Macaca mulatta: one gene and its partner. The protein of the gene in region 2 interacts with the protein of the main gene of each other region in a biochemical or structural test. Links are inferred from orthologs where the notes say so. Each region holds a gene or a part of one and is shown on either strand. Other genes may lie near its edges.

Region 1 (4,182 bases), on a different chromosome or scaffold from region 2:
ATTAAAAAGTTTTAGGAATCCCCCAAATCCAATCAAGATGCCCTGGAGAGAAACACAGGTCAACACGACTACACTGTGATATCGAGAAAGAAACTTCTAATAAATAAGTAGCACTGCAAATGAAGAAAGACTGTGTACCTAGAAAGAAGATGGTCTTTGTATTAGTCTGTTCTCACGCTGCTTCTATGAAAAAATACCTAAGCCTGGGTAATTTAGAAAGAAAAGAGGTTTAATTGACATGCAGTTCCACATGGCTAGGGAGGCCTCAGGAAACTTACAACCATGGCGGAAGGCACCTCTTCACAGGGCAGCAGGAGAGGGGCTGAGTGCCAACAGGGGAAATGCCAGATGGTTATAAAACCATCAGACCTCGTGAGAACTCACTCACTATGATGAGAAGCATGTGGGAAACCACCCCCTTGATTCAATCACCTCCACCTGGTCCCACCCTTGACACACAGGGATTATTACAATTCAAGGTGAGATCTGGGTGGGGACACAGAACCAAACCATAGCAGTCTTCCTTATAAGGAGTATCCAAAGACACAAAATTTGGCAGGGTGTTGCCAAGACAGTGTCCCAGGAAAAAGTTATTCCTGATTCACAAATAAGATCCTTTTCTATTGTAGAGGACTTCTCAAACTATTGTAACTGGATGATACTGGCTAGCATAATGACATATAGCTTTCCTCCTGTTCTGATTCTAAGCACATAAAATACTGTTTTAATTAAAATTTGGTTTTCCATACACATTTGGCTGGAGAATGGGCTGATCACCCAAAATGAATATTTAGCCTGCTTGATATGTATATTTTTCAATGTAAATTAATAACCCAAACACTATTTTTGGACTCCCTAAACCAGAAGTAATTCTGTTTCTTCTAAAAACTCTTTACTTCAACTATAGCACTTATTTTATTTATTTTGCCTCATTATTGTTAGTTGTTTACATGTTTATCTGTTTGACCAGATTGTAAGTACCTTCAAGTATATGACTGTTTCTTTTCTTTTCTTTTTTTCTGAGACAGGGCCTTACTCTGTTGCCCGGGCTAGTCTCAAACTCCTGGGCTCAAGTGATCTGCCTGCCTCGGCCTCCCACAGTGCTGGGATTACAAGCGTGAGCCACTACGCCCCACCTGAATATTTCTAATTCTTTTTTTGTCTTCAGTTCCCTACTGTGAAAATTTAAGTAGATTCTTAAATGTTTGATGGATAAATGACTGGATGAATAGCATCATGTGATTATTCTCTTCCCAAGACTGAAAAGTAAACACCAAGATTGTACGTACCTTATTCTTTTCATTTTGAATAATTTCTAATAGCTGGTCTATGTGCCCTTCTTCTATGCATCTTTGCCCAGCTAACTGAAATAGGCCAAAATCCTCTTCTTTAAAGTCTTGCTCTTCTAGGATTTGCTGGCAAAAAAGCCCCCCAAAAACAAAAGAACAAATGTATATGTAAATAAAAATTAAATACAGTAACTTCTTGACTTATCTATGAAAAAAGGAAATCTGTTTAAATTCTAGGTAAATGTAACGTAAATAACACATGTATCAAAATTAGGATTACCCTAATAAATACTTTAATAAATGACCTTGAAATCTACTGTACCAGTGAAACCTATGAAAAGGATCAGGATTAAAATGTAAAAGGTTATTTAGATAAGTATGTCACCTGGAGAAATAATCCAATCTGCCTCCCCCACTCACGTTCTTTACAGGTCAAAAAAAGCAAGGATTAAAGAAGATAAACAATTTGAGTGACCACAAATATAATTAAAAACCATCTGTGCCCTTCCCATATTTTGAAAGGTATTTAATTTTACAAAAATTAAAAAAATACTTACACATCTCTTTATTATAGACTGAAGTTCCTCTACAGCCATTCCTATTTCTCCCAGTTTCGACGCTAAAATCTACAAATACAAAACACACTGTTAAATATCCGTGATATTACATTTAAGTATTCAAAAGTTATGTTTCAGTGTGATAAATTACTAGTAAATACAATAAAGAAAATGGAAAGTTTTTGTTGTTGTGTTTTTTGGTCCAATAGCATGCTAGGAGAAAATGTAAAGTTCTAAGGTTGAAATGTTATTACTGAATCTTAGTATGTTTGTCTAAGAAAATAAAGTGTTTTTTAAGAAGCCCTTATTGCATCTTTTAAGTTTTCTAGGAGCATAGTTTTGAAAGCTATTTTGAAGGAAAAAAAGAAAAAACTCCCGAGTACTCCCAAGAGGCGAGGCAAATACGAACTAAAGGGCTTTTTAAAAAGCAAAGTACTTCTTTTATGAAAAAAAAATTCCAAAAGGTGGACCTGAAATCAAAATTCTAATCATTAGGGGATTTTTTAATGTCTCACCTCACAAAAATTGGGGTGCAACACAAGTTTATCTATAGGGGGTGAAGATTCAGATGCCCTCCATCCCATTTCTCTCTAGGAGTTGCAGTACCCAAAGTGATCAATCCAGCTAGTGAAATCACTGTATCACACGGAGGCAAGGCAACGGCGGCCTTCAGGAGGAGACCATCGCTTCTCCCGGAGGCAAGGCTCAGCCCCAAACCCTCAGTAGTGACGCGGGTCAGCCCGGTTCTCAGCGCAGCGCGCTATAAGCCGAATAACACCCCAGCGCGCGTGCTGGCGGCATCAGAGGAAGCCATGTCTTCCGATTCCTGCTCGCCTAGGTGTGCAGGCTCCACCACCTCGCGTGGCCTAGTCGGCCCGCGGCACCAAGTCCGCCGCGGCTCACGGCCAACCGCGAGCCCTGGCCACCCCGAACCTCTCCACTACTCCACTTACCAGCCAGATCTCTCGCCTCTCCCAGCCGCCGCCACCTCCTCCGGCCACTTAGCCCGCTCTTCTGGCCCCGCCCCACGCCAGCGGGGTCCGCCTCGCGCTACGCGTAGGAAGGCGGGGCTTCGGGGCGAGACGCCGGAGCTAGTCCGGGTTCCGCAGACTACTCTCCCCGATGGCGGACTGTACTGGGCCGGGTTCTGCCGGCCGCAAGGCCGGGGCTCCTCGCCGCTCTCGAAAAGCCACAGGTAGGAGCAAGGATGTCTTCTCACTTTGGGACCCTGAAAGCTGGACCCCGATCTCGAGTTCTAAACCGAAGCGCACGGGCGATCCTGAAAGGCTGCTTCAGGGGAGGGGTTCTCCCAGGTAGAGAAGGCCGAAAGCTTCCCACCGCCGTCCGCTCCCCCTGGGAAAGATCTCCTGGCCGGCCCTCACCCCTTTACGCCAGTGTTGCAAGATTTCCCTCACGCGGGCCATGGCCCCAGCCTCTGAGAGAAAGTACAGTGGAGGCGCCGGGAACCCAGGCCTAGGGTCCCCGGGGTTCGGGGCAAGTGACTAGGGCAGCGTTGGCAGCTGGTCTTGAACCTAGGACCGGTCCTCCTTTCCAGATTGCTTGGGTGCCTGGTTCTTTGAGGTGCCGGACTCCCCTCTTCTCCCAAAGAGGACGTTTGGCAGACGGAGAGAGAGGTTTCCCTAAAAAGTACCCAGATCTCAGATTTTCAGGAATGATTAATTAAGCAACTATGATACAGAAGAAAATTCAATCCCCAAAGAGATACATTTTAACCAAGAAAAATTAGACAGTAATCAATTTGCAAAAACAAATTGCTTGCCCTTTACCTATTTCATTTTGATTTACACACGATTGGACATAAAATAGGTGGAAAAGAAGAAAAATTCGTCTAGTTTGTTATTTGTGTAGGAATCTATCTTGTACCTAATGTGTTTGTGTAGGCCTGACCTACTGCCACCATGTGTAGCTTAACTGCGGGGATGCATTTTGAGAAATGCGTTGTTAAGCGATTTCATCCTTATGTGACCATCATAGAGTGCACTTACACAAACTTAGATGGTATAGCCTACTTACACACTAGGCTATATGGTACAGCCTATTGTTCCCAGGCTGCAAACCTGCACAGCATGTTACTGTACTAAGTACTGTAGGCAATTGTATATCTAAACATAGAAAAGGTACGGTAAAAATACAGTATTTTAGTCTTATGAGACCGCTGTCTGTATGCTGTCCGTCGTTTACGAAATGTCATTATGTGGCACATGACTGTATTTTTGTTGTAGGTACTAAACAGACAACTACTTTGAAACAAGAAGATGCTTCTAAAAGGTATGACAGCTACATGGACAACTACAATGGCATATCTACTTATCTCA
Region 2 (3,490 bases):
TCCTGTTAAGGCTGGGAAGGAAGCTGGGCATGACCCCTCTTTACTCTCGACCTTAATCATGTAAAAGTTATCTGACAGAGGTTAGTGACACCAGGAGTTTTACCTTGTTAAGAAACCAAAATGCACAGATACCTCTGCCAGATCAGAGGTAGGCAGAAGACCAATTCCAACTTCAAAATGCATATGCATGGTGTCCCAGTCTTCTAGATCTTGATACTTTCCTCTTCCTAAGCGTCAGGGAAGAAAACCAGAGGCACTAAAAACTGCCAGGTTGCTGGAGGGAGGGAGTGCATAGACTCAAGTCCCAGCTGCAGCCTGTGCAGTGCTCAGGAAGCCCTGCATCGTGGGGCTGCTTCCTGCCCAACTACGGTGTCTACTTGAGATGCTGCACTTATTTAAGCTCCACTGGGACTAAGTGGGTGACCCCTTAATTTTGCCACTACCCATTATGTACCCACCCATACCCACCCCTCCAAGGCTGAACAAAAAGGGTTGTCTGACACCCAGGTTTTATTGTTTCCACTTTATTGCTCAAGCACGGAACTTGAGGCAAGCCTGGACCTTCAGCAACGTGCGGAAAAGAGGCTGAGGGGATTTCGGGACACAACCTGGCTGAGAGGGGAAACTGACAGGGGAAATACCAGAACAGGGAGCAAGGGGTGGTCACCATCACACCAGAAGACATCAGCCACACCGTTGGGGGTGAGGAAGGGAACAGAGAAGAAATGGCATAGCAGTGGTTTTTCCCATGTCCCTAGCACCCACATGGAGGCCACGTTTGGAAATGGACTGGGAGAGGGAAAGGATGAGGAAAACGGCTGCCCAGGAGTCTCCCTCTCCACCCTGGGTTCATATCAGACCCCATCCCTACCACTTGCCTCTTCTACCCTTGGAAAATGGACCTAACAGAGGGAGCAAAATAAATTAACATTCTGATGAATATGTATGGATGGACATATGTTCATGTGCAAAGGGGGAAGGGAAGAGGGGGTGACACCAGCTAAAATGATTCCCCACCTCAATCCCCCAGCCTACTCCTTTCCCCCTTCCCCCTAAAGCCACCATCCAACCAGATAGAAAAATAAAGGTCTAATTCACTCAAAATTCTTCAGTTTTTACAAAACTAACAGGGTGGAGGGGGGAGACTGGGGGCAGGCAGCCGCAGGAGTAGGGCTGGTGGAGAGGGGCTATGCTTCTGTCTCCACCTGAGACTGGCTCCCTGCCGTGTTGCTCTTCTGCTCCTCCTTCATCTCTGTGTCAGTGGGGTGGTCTCCTGAGGAGGCCTCTGCCTTGGCCTGCAAGGAAGAGGAACAGCAAAGAGGCTGACATCGCAAGTGAAAAAACACACACTTAATTTCTAGCAGAATTACACAGATACACCCATTCTCCTACATCTGTCCTAAAAATATATCTGTATAGGCCAGGCCTGGTGGCTCACACCTGTAATCCCAGAACTTTGGGAGGCTGAGGTGGGCAGATTGCTTGAGCCCAGGAGTTTGAGACCAGCCTGGGCAACACAGTGAAACCTCAGCTCAACAAAAATTACAAAAATTAGTTGGGCGTGGTGGCATGCACCTGTAGTCCCAGCTACTCGAGAGGTTGAGACGAGGATTGCTTGAGCCCTGGAGGTGGTGGTTGCAGTGAGCTGAGACTGTGCCACTGCACTCCAGCCTGGCCGACAGGGCAAGAGACACTGTTTCAAACAAAACTAAACACTTATATATGTACAAATTATGAACTCACAAGGTTACTCACTGCAATGCTGTTCTAAGCAGTACTGTCCCGTATGGTAGCCACTACTGTAAGTGGCTAGTTCAAACTCATGTGTTTTTAGTGCAAAATATATATTGGATTTTGAAGATGGTTTGAAAAATACACAAATGCAACTAAAATTTAATTCCATTTGTTTTTCACCTTTTTAACATGGTTACCAGAAAATTTTGAATTACATGTGGTTGATACTGTATTTCTACTGGACAGTGCTGGTTTAGAACACTGTTTAAGACTGGCCAGGCATGGTGGCTCACACCTGTCATCCCACCACTTTGGGAGGCAGGGGCAGGCAGATCACTCAAGTCAGGAGTTCGAGACAGACTGGTCAACATGGTGAGACCTCGTCTCTACTAAAAATACAAAAATTAGCCGGGTGTGGTGGCGGGAACCTGTAATCTCAGCTACTCGGGAGGCTGAGGCAGGAGAATCGCTTGAACCCAGGAGGCAGAGTTTGCAGTGAGCCAAGATCGTGCCACTGCACTCCAGCCTGGGTGACAGAGTGAAACTGTCTCAGAAAAAAAACACCAACAACACTGGAAGACTAAAAGGGGACTGACTGACTAAGATAAGCCACATCCACACAATGGAATACTATGTAAGCCTAAAGAAGAATGTAAAAGTTCTTTAAATACTGATGTAAAATAAGCCTCCAGCTACTATCATGTGAAAAAAGCACAGTATGTGCCAAATGATAGAGCACGTTGCCTCTTGTTAGGGGAAAGGGAGAAAGCAACATGAATGTCTGCCTGTGCACTGATGCAATACACTGGAACCATACAAGAACCTGAAGGGTCAGCTGCTTCTGGTGGGGGAGGCAGACTTTTGACTGTATATACTCTGGTACAGTTTGAATTTAACTACGTAAATGTATCATTTATTTAATCACACATAAAAAGCATCTAGCTTTTTTTTTTTTTTTTTAGACAGGGTCTCATTTTGTCACTCAGGATGGAGTGCAGTGGTGCCATCATAAGTCACTGAGGTCTCTACCTACTGGGTTCAAGTGATCCTCCCACTTTGGCCCTGCAAAGTGCTGGGATTGCAGGTGTGAGCCACCGTGCCTGGCCCACAAGAAAACATAAATCGGGAATTACACTCAGAGCAACCAACCCAACTTCTGGGGCTTGTGGGTAGGATCCTAGCACTGATCACAGAACACGGCCCCAATAGCAGAGAACACATGCTCCTTAATGCTCCAGGGAAAAGGGCAACTTTTGGTTTCTGGGATCGGCACAGACAACCAAAGGCACCAAGAGCCCACAGTAGCCAGGTTCCGTGGAGGGATGCTATTCCCGCTGTTCCCCACCCCAATCCTCACCTTGTTCTCCTCCTCAGCCAGCCTCTCAAACATATTGGCATAGAGCTTCTTCTCCCGGGCAAGCTGCCTTCTGATCCGCTGCTGGCACACAGCCAGCTGGGTCTTGGCGGCTTTGTTGTTGGGGTAGAGCTGCAGGACCTTCTGGAAATCAGCCCGTGCCAGTTCAAAGTCATTCACGGCCAGGTGGGCCTCTCCCCGGCGGAAGAGGCCCTTCTCATTGTTGCTGTCCAATTCTAGGGCCTAAAGGATGCAGGGAGGAAGCAACATCGTGGGAGCTCAGGGCTTGTAGCTCATCTGGCCAAGACTGGGTTCCAAAAGTACCCCTCAGCAGGACTGCAAATGGCTGGCTCCACCCCAGGAAGAACAAGGCCTGGGGCATTAAATGGAACAATCCAAGGT

What was found.
Region 1: the proteins of FKBP4 (region 2) and GLMN form a complex in vitro, tested with the Homo sapiens proteins (2 studies listed by BioGRID). The link is inferred for Macaca mulatta from reciprocal best matches to the Homo sapiens genes FKBP4 and GLMN.

Annotation. Positions count from the first base shown.
Region 1 is NC_133406.1:148,020,695-148,024,876, reverse strand, and holds the start of GLMN (glomulin), read right to left. Parts: upstream 2,863-4,182; 5' UTR 2,800-2,862; intron 1,916-2,799; 5' UTR 1,886-1,915; coding exon 1,847-1,885; intron 1,416-1,846; coding exon 1,290-1,415; intron 1-1,289.
Region 2 is NC_133416.1:3,698,967-3,702,456, reverse strand, and holds the end of FKBP4 (peptidyl-prolyl cis-trans isomerase FKBP4), read right to left. Parts: intron 3,332-3,490; coding exon 3,092-3,331; intron 1,296-3,091; coding exon 1,188-1,295; 3' UTR 520-1,187; downstream 1-519. UniProt on the Homo sapiens protein: Immunophilin protein with PPIase and co-chaperone activities. Component of steroid receptors heterocomplexes through interaction with heat-shock protein 90 (HSP90).